Arabidopsis thaliana: one gene and its partners. The protein of the gene in region 2 purifies or fractionates together with the protein of the main gene of each other region. This does not show direct contact. Each region holds a gene or a part of one and is shown on either strand. Other genes may lie near its edges.

The links. The genes of interacting proteins can lie anywhere in the genome.
Region 1: the proteins of HON4 (region 2) and AT2G34810 fractionate together in Arabidopsis thaliana (co-fractionation; one large-scale study listed by BioGRID). This does not show direct contact.
Region 3: the proteins of HON4 (region 2) and AT3G20820 fractionate together in Arabidopsis thaliana (co-fractionation; one large-scale study listed by BioGRID). This does not show direct contact.

What each region holds. Positions count from the first base shown.
Region 1 is NC_003071.7:14,683,416-14,688,217, reverse strand, and holds AT2G34810 (FAD-binding Berberine family protein), read right to left. Parts: upstream 3,049-4,802; 5' UTR 2,927-3,048; coding exon 1,304-2,926; 3' UTR 1,002-1,303; downstream 1-1,001.
Region 2 is NC_003074.8:6,168,002-6,173,630, forward strand, and holds HON4 (winged-helix DNA-binding transcription factor family protein), read right to left. Parts: upstream 4,005-5,629; 5' UTR 3,558-4,004; coding exon 3,348-3,557; intron 3,262-3,347; coding exon 2,380-3,261; coding exon of another isoform or gene 2,308-2,379; exon of another isoform or gene 1,925-2,307; intron 1,837-1,924; coding exon 1,771-1,836; intron 1,668-1,770; coding exon 1,383-1,667; 3' UTR 962-1,382; downstream 1-961. Other genes in the region: HAL3A (HAL3-like protein A), read right to left, coding at 1-175, 293-628.
Region 3 is NC_003074.8:7,278,743-7,283,378, reverse strand, and holds AT3G20820 (Leucine-rich repeat (LRR) family protein), read right to left. Parts: upstream 2,588-4,636; 5' UTR 2,450-2,587; coding exon 1,352-2,449; 3' UTR 1,002-1,351; downstream 1-1,001.

The sequences.
Region 1 (4,802 bases), on a different chromosome or scaffold from region 2:
TAAAAATATTCCAAAATAACAAATACATGTGATATTTTCATGATTTATATATTCTTCTAAATGAAATTTGGGTTGAAGTACTCGTTAGTACAAGGTGTTAAACATAAATCTTTTCTCTCTTTTTAATTATATTATTAAATCTATTTTTTCCATCATGATCTGAAATAATTTGTAACACTATTTAAAAGTTTACTTAACAGTCAATTGTCTCCCCTACAACACCATCAGCTAGTATAGTAGTATACAACATATTTGTTCTAGGGTGGACAAGAACAAATACAAGTACGTACCCACTTGTAACTTAGATGATATATATACATTTTGGCTTCAAGCTAGTGTTTTCTCTTTTAAACATTTGACTGGTGATATTGGTCATTTGATTGATTGGAATCGAGATTTTTTCAAATTGTGGTGAGAAAGTCTCGGAATTTTGCCCACGTGTAAAATATTGAACTAACAATTATAACTAACCCTATCCCAAAATGTCGGACCAGTTTGGACCGATCGACCAGTCGAAAAGTCTATATCATATAGTTAAAACTGTGACCTCATTACAATTATTGGAAGCAACTCGACCATGTCCTGTTCAAGCATTTAATATATAAATCCTATCACGTGTTCATCTGTGACTCTGCGCCAAGATTTCTGAAAAACACACTTTTTGCAATGGACCCAATGATTTTGTTCATCGCTCATCGGTCATACTGACATACTATGTTTTTGACAAAAAAAAACAAAAGTTGCATAGATTCATGCAAAAATTATTAGGCTTCTTTGCTAGATAACTAAATTAGCGGTAAACTTGACCCCAATTGTAAATAAAATAATATTAGGTTATGATTTAGAAACATATAGTGATATCATATAATATAGTTTGTCATCGGATAAATTAGTACATGATATTTGTTTAAAAAGACGCGTAAAATCTGGTTGATTTTTTATTATGAAATTTATTTAAGATTTTGCAATCAGTATTCTTTGCAAATTAAAGACCATATATTGTTCATTTATGCTATAACTAAAACTAATCATATATTGTTGATTATAATCAATGAATTCTCTTAGAGATATACAACTCCGATCCATTTATTATTAAAAATTTTAGCACATAACTTCTCTTGGAGATTGAAGTAAACCATTATTTAACACAAAATTATCAACTGCCCATGCCAGAACAACTAAGGAACATATATACCCAATAGATTCATTGGATATGATCCCAAATTTCAACTTTTAATAACTTAATAGTATACTCCTTCCCACACAACAATACAATCAATTCAAACACTCACCAATCACCAAACTAAGCAAGAACCGGAATCCCTTGCTGAGACCGGAAAAAATTAGTCCGGTCGAACCGGGCTTTAATCTTAACCAATCTCAAATAATTCCCTTTGAAATAACTATCCCCATAAACCTTAGCTCCTTCATACGTCGCATTATACCCCGGCGTAGTAATTCCGATATCGACATCTCTATAATTAAAGAAAGCTTCTCTCGGATTCTTGGAAACAAACGGAGCCATAGCTTCTTTAAAACTTCTTGCAATCGCCAAGAACTTCTCTTCAAGCTCATCTCCAGGTCTATACCAATTCATGAAATGCTCAATCATGAAAACATTACCACCTCTATGCACAAACGCCGTCGCATCAGACGCTATCTCAGCCATTTTCCCTCCCCATGGATTCCATTGCATCCAAACTCGTCGTGGAAGTGGCGAATGATCAATCATTGTTTGAAAAATCTTTGCAAGACCCTGTTTTGAGATTGGTGCTTGAACAAAATCTGAAGTACGTTTCCAGTAGTATTCGTTGGTTGATACTCTTTTGAGAAGTAACTCTATCGGTGCTTTTTCTGGATAATTCGCCCAGAAAACACTAGATTCGATCCATTTCTTGACCATACAATCTTCTTTCGTTAAATGTAGCTCAGGGAAACTCTGTTTCGTTATGTTTAAAAGTCTCTCAGGTAAACCAAGAAACATTCCGATGAAGGAGACTTTAATCGTCTTACCTTTTGAGATTTTCCGGTTTATTGGTTTAATCTCTAACCGGATAAACAAATCTCTGTCGATAACCGGAGCTACTTGTTGCCATTTATGAACTAAATCAACGGCTCCTTCTCTCACCGTTCTTTCTAGTTTAAAAACTGTGACTTTCTCCGGAACCCTAACGAGTTTTATCTTCCAGGCAAGAATGACTCCGTAGCTTCCGCCGCCTCCGCCGCGAATAGCCCAAAACACGTCTTCTCCCATAGCTTGACGGTTACGGTACACTTTACCGTTGGCGTCCATGATTTGAGCGTCGATTATATGATCAATGGATAAACCGTATTTTCTCATGAGGTTACCGAATCCTCCGCCGCTGAAATGTCCTCCGGCGCCGACTTTAGGACAAACTCCGGCGGGAAAAGCGTGGACTTTGCTTTTACTTGCAATGTTATAGTAAAGCTGACCTAGTGAAGCTCCGGATTGGATCCAAACGGTTTCGTCTTTCATGTTGATATCGATTTTGTTGAAGTTGTACATGTCTAAGATTACGAAAGGTACCGGAGAAGTGTAGGAGAAGCCTTCGTAGTCGTGGCCTCCGCTTCGGATTCTTAGCTCGAGGTTTAGGAGTTTGCAGCAAGAGATTGTTGCTCTTATGTGAGTTTCGGTGACGGCGGCGACGATAACTTCTGGTTTTCTTGTGGAGACAGAAGCGAACCGGAGGTTTCTGACGCCGTTCATTAGGTTTGTTGAGAAAGATGAGTTTGTTGGGATCACGGCGGTTCTTGAGTTGGGACTGCCGTGGTCGGATGGTTGAGTGTCGAGGCATCGGAGAAAATGCTCCGGTATAGATAATGACGGTGGTGATGAGTTGACTTGTTGAATTATGAGATAGATAATAATTATAAGAAACGTTAATGGTCGTGACCAAAACTTCATTTTCGTTTTGTTATTTGTGATTGGTTTTTGAATAATGAAATAGCTTTGTTGGGTTTGTGTGTGTATTTATAGCCAATAGAGTAGTATAGTCTTTGTATTTAATTTTCCAGGGAATATTCGGCGATATATATATATATATATATATCACGATAATATTCAATTCAATTTGAAGTTTCTATAGATATTAGTGTAGTTTTCTTATTTTGTTGTTTATATCCGCTTGTATTTTGTATAGTATGAGTAAAAGTATGCAAATTGGATATAAGTTCCGTAGAAGATATTGGTTACTTTGACATATTTAAAAAGTAACAGTAAGAGTTACTTTAGTTTAAGATTTGTCGACGATAGGATGCCAGAATTCCACGACCTGTCAGTCACCTCACCAATGATCAACTAGGATATGATTTGATTAATGTTTTTTGGTGAATTTTTTTTTTATAGGTAAAACATAATTAACAAAACGGACTTTAATTGTTTTTATATGTAAAACATAATCTACTAAACGGACTTTATTTGTTTATTATCAAATTAAATAGAGTAGTATGTGTTTCTTTCTTTTTTTGGGACCCTTGGTAGTTAATTGTTGCATGTGGCGTGATTAAATTAGGTCTTAGAGCAAATCCAAGGCGATCAAATACAGAAGAGCTACGTAAGAAGGTCAACACGTGTCGTTATGGATAAGTTGATGAAAAATACGTACCTGCAATAAAATTGTCCACATGAATTTCTTATCACACGAGGACTTTTGATCGGCGAGGACGGTGAGTGTAGTTATGATTCTCGTGAAGGCAAAGATAAAAAAGACAAGTGTTGTTTTAATCAGTGAATCAAAATCAACCAAATAGGCTTCTTTTCTCTTTACTCTAAACTCTTATCTGTAAAAGATTCCCTTTTCTGTTATCTCCAAAAGTCATACAATAAAAGAGATGGTCTTATAGCATTAACATATCTGCATATGTATAATGTAGTGGTCGTGGATCAATTTGTGCTTACGAATCCAATTATCCAATAGAGTTCCCACAAGATTCAGAAATTTGTTAAAAGAAAGACCAGTTCATTTTTATTTTTGTTAAAGATCGAAAGACCAGTTCATCTGTTTATAAGTTATAGTTTCAAAATAAGGTTTAATTATGAGGTCACATGCATATTATGAAACTAAACATATATATCTCTAGCTAGTCTAGCTATTTTGTTTTCAAGTTTATTGTGAAGTGTTTAGACCAAAATGGTAATGTTTCCCCTCCGGGCTACTACAAACCATTATTCTCGAAATTTTCCTTTGCTCAAAATTGAAGTACTTAAAGAGTTCTTTCTTGTTTTGTTATAGTACTTATTTGTCTGAATATAGCGTTCATCCATTTTGTACAACTGCACAGTATATAATATTTGGCGTCGGTTACCCACCGCTTCGACCATAGTGGATTTGGATCCACCTAACAAATATGTTAGAGCATCCTTGACATACCTCAGTATTTAGTATTATCTAAACGTAATTAGTTTTATCCTAGTCTCTCTTATATATGTGTAATTCTTTGAATACACCATGCATGAATATCACGTTCTAATAATTTATATAGGCTCCCAACATCATGAGCTTAATTCAAGTTTAGGATCGGAAAACAAATCAAAACTAAACTAGTTTGAAGCTTAGTATATATATGATTGGAGATTTGCAAAACTACCCATTTTTTACTATTTTTTTGCAACAATACCCTTTTATGTTTTCCATTTTTAAAAGTACCCTTTCCCTTGAACAAAATGACCAAATTACCCTCATCTAATAGAAACATGTAATTGGAAACTGAACTTTTCCCGCCAATTTTTTGGCGCCAAAATTTTTATTTTCCGCCAAAAAAAAAATTTCCGCCAAACTTTT
Region 2 (5,629 bases):
TCTTGATAGGAGGAATAAGTGTGATTCCCAGTTCATCAAGAGACAAAAGATGCCTTTCAGTGAAAGGATTGTTCCACATCAAAGTATTCATAGCTGGAGCAACAAACAGTGGTTTGGTATAGTCCCAAGCTCGTATAATGCAAGTCAGAAGATTATCACAAAGCCCACCAGCAATCTACAAAGGTACAACAAAAATATATTGTATGAATTGAATCCTCCATGAATGTTTTCACAAGTCACACAATTGAATCTAAGTAGTTGGTTTAGGGTTTTCGTCGATTTGTTAAATTACCTTGCCTAAGGTGTTAGCAGACAAAGGAGCAATGACTAAAACATCAGCCCAACGTCTAAGCTCGATGTGAAGGACAGGATCACCGATCTTGTTCCAGCTAGACCATTCATCTTCATCAGTATACAGAGTCACTTCTTGTGGGAGAGAGAGTTTATCGAGGAAATGTAGAGATGATTTCGTAACGACGGCTCTGACTTCTGCCCATTCGGTGAAGCAATGGCAGAGATTGCCGAATTTGATAGCAGCGACGCTTCCACTTGCAGCGAGTAGTACACGAGGCTTCCTCGGTGTGGTATTCACTTCCATGTCTTGTCTGTCTCTTTTCCCATTCTCCATAGCTCTTTTACACCTTCAGAGATCTAGCAAAGTAGCCAATGGTTCGGCGAAGAACCCTAACCGAAAAATTGATCTGGTCGAAGAGAATATCAAAATGTTTTAGAGGGAAGAGAAAGAGAGAGGCCCGAGAGGACAATCATTTTAGTTGCTGGTCAAATGGGCCATTGACTCACTCTTTTTTAGGCCTCGGTCGTATGGGCTGTGAATATCGATATATTTCATTTTATATTTACTTCGTTTGGACTGCAATTTCGATTCTGAGTTCGACTGTTGTGTTAACTCTAACATGTTTTCGAGTCAAAGTTATATAGCTTTTTGAGCCAACGTGAGATGGAAATGAAGATATTATTAGTAAGAAATTAAGTAAGAGTCGACCTGCTAAAACCGTTGGGTGGAAAATAGACACGAAAACATCTCCACAATGTGCAAAGCGGAAGCAGAGAGCAGAAGACAGATTGAAAAAAACAAAGGCACAGACGCAATAAGAGATTATTAAAGATGGAAGACTAGAAACATCGCTAATTTACAGCCACGTCTTATGGTTTGGTTAAAGACACACCGACAACAACACCATTAACGAGTCTACTATTTCTTCTTCTGCAGACAACAAAACCTAGAAAAATTAAAATTCCTTATAGATTTTTATATAATTTAAGATGCGATTCCAACACCTAAAACAACTAAAAAAAAACACTCCTAACGCCAAACACCAAGGCTATTATGTCTAGGTTGTTTTCTAGATCATTATTATTCTTCAGAACAGAGCTTCTTGCATTGCCTCTGCTTCTGTCTGGGTCTGTGTTTCTCCTTCTCTTTCTTGTCCTTCTTCTTGTCCTCCTTGTGTCTCAGCAGCTTCAGTTTGTTGAGCTTCAGTCTGTGGTGCTGCAGTCTCCTCTGGCTGCACTTCTTCCATAACTTGTGGCTCAACGGTCTCCGTCACTGTTAGTGCTTCCAGATCTTTTATGGCTTGCACCACTGCTTGATTCTCACTTGTAACTCCATCCTTCAACACCTTCACAATTTCTTTCACTTTCTCTTGCTGAAATCATTTACATACAAAAACCAAACATAAGCAAGTAGAATCGAATACTTTAATCAAATAAAGGACAGCCAAACTGTTTATTGTCAACAAGTAGACTTACAAAAATATCAAACTTCTTCTTGAGTTCTCCAGAATCTTGTGTCCCAGTCGTGACTGATGTTCCAATCTAGGTTCATGAACCAAAAAATAAAATTGTTGGATAAAAGTATAACATATTCAAGAAAGACATTAATGGTTAAATTAAGAAGTCTTACTTTAGATCCAATTGAACACGTTACTAGTAAAATAGAAGATACAGAGAAGAAGACACTATGTGATGACTTAGAAACCATTAAGCCGGATTAACACACTAATTGATGATAAAATTATTCCTAGCTATAGCGATACATTACCGACTATTTTGGTCTTAATTATCCAAACGAAAATTAAAATAAAACAGAGAAACCAGATAAGGATAAGCCAAAAGTAAGGGACACGAAAATATAATAAAAACACTAGATACTAGTCAGATTTTGGATACGCGAAAACAGACAACAATGCTCAAAAGCGGAAAGTGACATTGAGTTTGAATTCCACAATGATTGCAACACAAGTATCAAACTTTATCAATCTAAATTGACGGCGGAGCAGTGAACAATCATGCACAGTAAACGTCAGATATTGCAAAATCGAGATCACGAATACAGAATTGGGGGATGTGAAAATTTACCTTTCTGGGTCTACCTACAGGACGTCCTCGTCCTCTCTTAGGCTTCATAATAAGCCTACTGATAACACCACCAATCTTAGGTGGTCGTCCACGTCCACGCTTCATCCCTGGCGCAACCGCTGCCACATTTTCACCACCTACTGGAGCAACACTAACAATACTGCTAGGGTCAACAACTCTCCTAGGCCTTCCTCTGCGTCTAGCACCATTAGCAACATAAGGATACACAGAGGCAGTAGAAGAAACGGATTTGGGCTTCCTCTGTCTCCCAGCAGCTCGACGACCCGGTGGTCTACCTCTACGTTTCATAATTCCAGCCATAACCGAAGCTTGAACGATTGGTGCAGTAGCAGGAGCAGCAGAACCGTTCTTCCTTGGACGACCAGGTCCTCTCTTCGCCGACTCTGTAACCGGAGTCGGAACCGGAACAGGTGATTGAACTTGCTGCTGTTCCCAGATTGGCTGTCCGTTAGCCTGGACTTGATTGGTCGGTGGAAGTTGCTGTAGTGGTTGTGGTTGAGATTCAGGTTTAGGCTTAGGAGGACGACCACGACCTCGTTTCAGAGGCTGAGAAGCAGAGCCAGAAGCCATGGGATCGTTGTTACTTGAATGGAGAATCTCAGATCTGGGAACATCGAGACCTTGAGCGGCGGCAGCAGCAGCAACAGCTACACTAGCAGGAGGAGTAGAAGAACCAGCAATTTTGTAAGATTTCTTAACCATAGAAAGAACACCACTGGTCTTCAAAGTCTTGAGATGGTGAGTCAACAAAGCAGCATGAGCAGAAGTTAAACCGGTGTAACATCTCTCGATGTATCTCGAAATTGCCATCTTGCTCGAACCATCCGGTTCGTTTAACGCCGCAATCGCAGCGCAAATCATCTACACACAGAAAAAAAAAATTAGTAACAAAAAAAAAAGTAACTGAATTTAGTTATAAAGGAAGAGGCTTTTAAGATTGAACTTACTTCGGAGTAAGGAGGGTGGGGCATTGAAACATGTGGAGATAACTGAAACATCTGCGGTTGCGGGATTTGCGTTTGCGTTTGCGGCTGCGGTTGGAAGACGACATGGTTATTGTACGGATTTGGTCCTAAAGGATGATGATTGGAGGTGGGAAAATGAGGAAAAGGGGTGAACTGAGGAGGATGATGAGGATCACCAAGAGATGGATCCATGGATGTGAGATTTTTGCAGAGCAAAGAGAAGAGAAGATACAGTAAAAAAAAAAAAAAGAACAAAAAAAAAAAAGACAGAGGTGGAAGGTGAGATTTAGATTTAGGGTTTTTTTTTCTTTTTTTTTGTTTTTTGCTCTGAGAGCTCTTTTGATTTTTTTGTTTTTGTGAAAATAAAATTTTTGTGAGAGAAATAAATAAAGTTAGGTTGGGGAGAGAGAGGCGGAGGAGTAGAGACGAAAGGATGAGAAGAAAGATTACTATTAAATCTAACCGTTGATTTGTTTTCTATCGACGGTTTTGACGAGGATCGATGACGTGTCATATCATTTTGTCTTTTATTTTAAGGATTTTGTGTTTCTTTACTTTGATTTTTTTCATTTTTGCCTCTTAGAATTTTGCTACATTTTCGCTCCAATGTAATAAAAAATCACCAAAATTTTAAAAATGGACCGCCAAAATTTTAAATTATTTTTCTGAAAAGAACTCCTCGCTTTCAGTGTAAAACAATTTTGTTGATTTTAGAATAACATCGAATGAAGTATATAGCAAACACTGTTACATTAAGTAACCCATGTAACAAACTCCATTAAAGAGTGTATGATAAGTAAGAGATGTATTGAGATGAGTATGGCAAAACAAATGCAATTACTAACTTCTATGTCCTCTGTTTAGGATTTGAAATCGATACATTTACATAAAATTTAGTTTCAAATTTATATTTTCTGTGAATTTTGTTAGAGTATATATCTATTTGCGACCCTTTAACTTAATCACAAAATGATACATCAAATATGTTTTTCATTAAGGAAAAATTACAAGACATTAAAATATTTTTAAACAGTAATGTATGATATTTACATTTGAATTAAATTTTAACTTTAGTTGCATTTTAACAAAATATTTGATATATATATATATATATATCTATATATATATATATAAATGTACGACGTAAAACAAAAATAACAAATAAATGTAAACCTCTTATTATAGATGATGAAAGATAACTTTATGAAAAAAATAAAATATGGAAAAATATATTTACCAAGTGCTAAATACATTTTTCTTTTGTCTTGTATCACAAATAAGCGTGATATATTTAAAAGAATAATTGAAATATTAAATGATGAAAGATAAGTTTTAAAATTTTCAAAATATGGAAAAACATGCAATTAGTAAGTATTGATTGCAAATTTTAATTTGTTTTGTACAAAGAAGCGTTATTTATTTAAACATTATAATAAAAATGATAAATAGTGAACGATGAATTTAAGAAAATTTAAAATATGAAAAACTAGAATTTATAATTGTTTAATGCAAAATTTATAACAAACAAGCATTTTTAACGGGTAATGTAAAGGATACAAAGTGAGCGATAATTTTAAAGATATTTAGTGGTTTTACATATAGTTAATGTTTTTTTTTTTTTTTTAGAAGAACTTTTTTTTTCATTTGACATTTTAATATTGTTTAATGAACTTTTGTGTATTATATGTGTGGATTCAAAAGGGTAGTTGGATAGATTTCACCATTTGAATTTTGAAGTAGCAAATCTCAAATAAAATCAATGGGACTAAGAACAATTGATAAATCTATGGGGGAACAAGTGTCACACCTATCTCCTTGGTAAAGCCAGCCCATACATCACGGTACCCAAAAAGAATCATCCAACAAGAGAATTGTTGGTACATATTACTGACATTACAATACGATATTATAAAGAGTACAGTACGTTTATGCTTATGCATTAAGCGCAAGTAAAACCCGATATATGCTCATCATTCAAACTCCAAGTATCACCTGAGTCGTGTCGTTTTCATACAACAATTTATGTATGCTCATTCTTTTAATACTAATATATCTGTGTTGTGATGTGTGCATGCGTGTGCTCGAATACTTTCAAGCAAGGGTCAAACAAAGTGCGGCTGGTAATAGACGATCAGAAGACACAATCACCAGACACCAAGTAAGCAGATGACAAAAGACGATCACCACACCAGAATTCCAACAAAACAAAAGATTATGATATGTTTTGTCGCCTCTGATATGTCACACTACACAGTACACACAAC
Region 3 (4,636 bases), 1.1 Mb from region 2:
TTTCTGTTAATTATAGAAAACAGATCCTATTCAAGTATGTTAAGAGTTTTTACAAGTAGTGAACAAAGTGTATTTCGAGTAGTACTGATTAAGACAAATACAAAAAGGAGGAATAAAAAATAAAAAAAGAAAGTGGACAAAACCTATAATTATAGTTTGGCATTTCTCAAAATTGACAATGGGTATTTTATACTAAAATCCATCAAGATAAATATTGGAAAAAATAAATAATTAATAGGACAAAAGAAGATTTGGATATTAGGAAGGTGATCACATGTTGTGTTCGACCAACCTTATTCCATAAGCAACAGAAGGCAGGGAGAGAGTTAAAGAACTTGTACAACTTTCTTCTTCTTCTTTAGTTCATGTTAAAAAAAAAATCATTTTGTTTTGATGATGTATGGCAGATTATTTATCGGAATATATAATCAAATAGGTTCAAACTTAATACATAATTTATACGTTGTACAAATGGTTTGTTTGAATCTCAACTTTACATACCACAAAGTATGAAAACAAGATTTGTGATGGACTCTAAACCATAAAAATCTATAGGGACCAACGTACGTAGGCCCAATTAGTTTGGACTCTAAAGCTGTATGAGCCCAAAACGTTTTGTAAGCAAGTATATAAATGTGTGTAATTAGAGACATAAGCAATGAATGCAGTGACATAAAGAGTAGACCCATGTAGTGAAGCAGCGACAGGTCCTGAGGTTAACACTCACCGCAAAATGCTTTACAGAGTCTCACATGCAATGCCTCTGCCCATTTATTTATTACCCCCACAACGCTTTCTTTTTAATGTTTCATTTAATTCTTCTTCATGTGATTGTGATTTGAATTTTTCCATATTATGTGTATTTGGCTCTAGAATAAATGTTCTTAAACAAACCCAACTAAATGCATTCCTAGTCTATAGTTATATGTATATCGTATAAAATATGTAAGAAAAAACAAAAAATAGTTTACTCGATACATTAAATACGAACATATCCGTAGGTATTTCCATGTATATCCTATGTTCGGATATATTCCCAATATTGACTCTTGTCACAGTAAACATAATTGATTATCAAATATGTTCGTGTGTTATAGAGAAAATTTAATCGTCTATAAAACAGTTTATAGTAATCGTATACGTACACATATAACATATTACAAAAAACCAAACAATTGAATTAAAAATGATAGCAATCGTGTGACGAATGAAACTGGAAGTTTATATATTTTGTTAATCATCCCATAATTCAACTAAACGTAGCATACAATTTTAAATCTTTTTTTTATAAAATGCATAACCATAAATATAATAATGTCTCTAATGAAAAAACTCAAATTACATATAAAAATCAATTTTTCAAGCAAGCTCTTAAAGGTTTACCACAAAGACAGTCGTTAAACATAAACGACGCCGCTTCAAGATGATCAAACGGTGAACCTACCGGAATCCTCCCACAGAGATGGTTATGGCTAAGATCCAAATGACCAATAAACGACGCACCTGAGATCGATCTCGGTATTGGTCCTTTCAGATTATTATACGACAAATCAAGAACTGTGAAGTAAGACCTTGGTCCAAACCCTTCAGGTATCTTCCCTTGTAGCAAGTTCCGGCTCAAATTCAGATTCATCACCGACGACGTCATCAGAGTTTGAGGTATCTCGCCGGAGATTTTGTTTCCGTCGAGGTTAAGTGTGGCTAGTACCGACATACGTCCTAGAGACGGTGGGATTGTACCGTAGAGTTGGTTACCGGAGAGATCCACGTCAGCTAACCGGTAGATATTGGTTAATGATTCTGGGATCCGACCGGTTATTCGGTTACCGGATAATAACGCACGGCTGAGCATTTTTAATCTTCCGACGTCCGACGGGATTACACCGGAGATTAAGTTGTTACGGAGATCTAAATGCATTAAGCTAGAGAGATTGGTTAATGATTTTGGAATTGAACCGGAGATTCGGTTATCGGCTACGTTTAAAACAGCTAACCGGTTTAATCTTCCGATGTCGTATGGAATCCCACCGGAGATTTGGTTTCCGATTAAGTCGAGTGTACGGAGAAAAGGAAGACGAGTGATACATTTAGGGATTTCGCCGGAGATACCTTTCCAATCGGCGATTGTAATGGCGGAGAGACGAGTGAGCTCACATATCGAGGCGGAGATGTGTCCGGTCATGTAACCGGTTCGGTGAGCTCGTTCGAAGATTGGATCTTCTGACTCGCCGCGGAGATTTATGTCGGCGACTCGGTGAGTGAGCGAGTCGCAGCTAATACCGTACCAGTTGTGGCAACAGTCTTGGCCTGTCCATGAGTTGAAAATGCCGAGGTAAGGCTCGTGAAGAGCTGATCGGAAAGCTAGAAGTGCACGGCGGTCTGACGGCGGACAACACGTGGCGGATGAGATTAGAAGGAGTAGGAGTAAAACGACGACGTTGAGATTCATTGTTTGAAGATTCTTTTTGAGTGACAGTGTTGGGAATTGGGACTTGATGGGTGAGGGAAGAAGATAGACGTTAATGGCATATAAATAGAGGATATTAAATAAAAGAGGGAATTTTTAAAAATATATTAATAAAAAAAGGACAATACTTTGCTTTATTTTTTTTTTTACGTGAAATTGTTAAAATAATAATTCGATATGGGTAAGATTAGACACTTTGGCCTCGTTCAATAATGAAGCTTGTGTTCGTGTAATCTTGATTAATCAAGAAATTCTACATCAAATTAGTCAACAACAAATGTCAAATTCATGTTAGATATCTTAAACACAAAAAAACGAGAACGTAAGAAATTGGTAATAACTTTTAACATGTGGGTTTGTTGTTTGAGTAACATGTGATTGTGTGGTTTGTAATAACTAGTTGTAGCAATAATATGGCCACAAAAATGAAGAAACATACACATGGATTTATAGTGTTGAGCACATTCATTAGATGGTAATAGAAAAGGTTGCAGACAAATTAAGATAGAGACAGGAACTGAAAGTGGGGGAGAGTTCCCATGCAAATAATTGAAGCTACGATTAGATTTTCCGATGCGACTTGCCGGTTGGATAAGCTTGTTGCTTACTACAATCATATCACAGGGTCAACATGACGCCACGTGGTTATGTTCTTGCATTTTAATCCTTTTTCTAATCATGTTATGAGATGACGATACACATCTTCGAGTCGCAAATAGTTGTGGTTCCGTAACTTATGTTGACTATGGGCCTGGTTTAAACGCAGCGGGTACGATTGCGGTTGCGGGAATTTGCGGAAACGGGCGGTTGCGGTTTCAAACGTTATCAAGTGTTTTGAACGACTGGTTGAGCGTTTGGTAATGAGTGCGTTTGCGGGAGTTTTATGACTGGTAAACCAGCGGGTGCGATAGTAATTAAATAAAAAATAACCAAAATAAATATAATATATTACTATTAAAAGAAAAAAAATACAATATATTATTATGATAAATTGATAATATTTGAAAAATTAAACATACTTAATAATTAAAACCATAAATAAAACTAAAAATTCAAAAATAAATAAATTTTGTAAGAAAAAGTTTAATACTTTATGCATTTGGTACATCACCAAAAATTGCATCAAGTAGTGTGATAAACTGTAAATAACGTTGAACTCGCGGGTTTTCCGGATTGCCTCTATACATATGATAAAGTTTCTTCAAGATATCCAAACGATTTTTAACACATCTCCAACTCAAATTTTTTCCAAACGTTAATATTCTTAAGAATATTTTCTTTTTGAACATCACTTAGAAATCTGATTTTGGGGTCTTTGGATTCTTCCGTTTATTTCTCCACAATAACCCGTTGAAGTAACGCAAATGTGGTCTCGTTTGACCAAATGATTTTCTAATCGAGAAAACAAATCAAAACATGTATTCAATCAAAAAACTCAAAAAAAAACAAAATAAAAAAAAACAACGATGCCATGAAATATTCCGAGAATTACACTAGCTAATGAATGGATGAAAGGATAGATCATACTTACGTTTGATTCTTGATTTTGACTTTGATTTTTGTCAGTTTGGGTGGATGCCATAATTGAGAGAATAGGGTTTCATTGATTAGGGTTTTCTGATAAGAATAAGTATAAGGTTTGGGTGGAAGACATAATTATTTTAATTAATTAATTAATTTTTTTTTAACCTAACCGCTACCGCCCGCAACCGCAAACGCTTGCGGGAAGGAGCTTTTGAAATCTGGTGATTTCAAGCGGTCCAAAGCGGTATCTAGCGGTTTCTATGATTGGTGCCAACCGCTAATAACCGCTACCACCCGCAAACGCTGCGTTTGCGGGTGGCAGAGGGAGAACCAATCAAGCCCTATATTAGCTTTTGATTCGGCTTCTAGTATCATGGCTTGGGCTAAGATTGGGCTTCAAAGCATATAGATAAATGGTTGTAAAAGCATTTACCGTTTATGATTTTTCACCGTCCGTGTCTCTAATTCAGCACCGACGGTTTCGTAATAAACGGCAGCCACATGAAACTACTGCTCACAGACAATAACTGTAAAACATGTTTTTGTCCTTAGCATTCCTAAAGGCGATTATGCGAGACATAGTAATGTCCAAAGTTTAATGCTAGTAGAGTTTTCAAAGTTTATAGGTGTTGGACTAGATCTTTT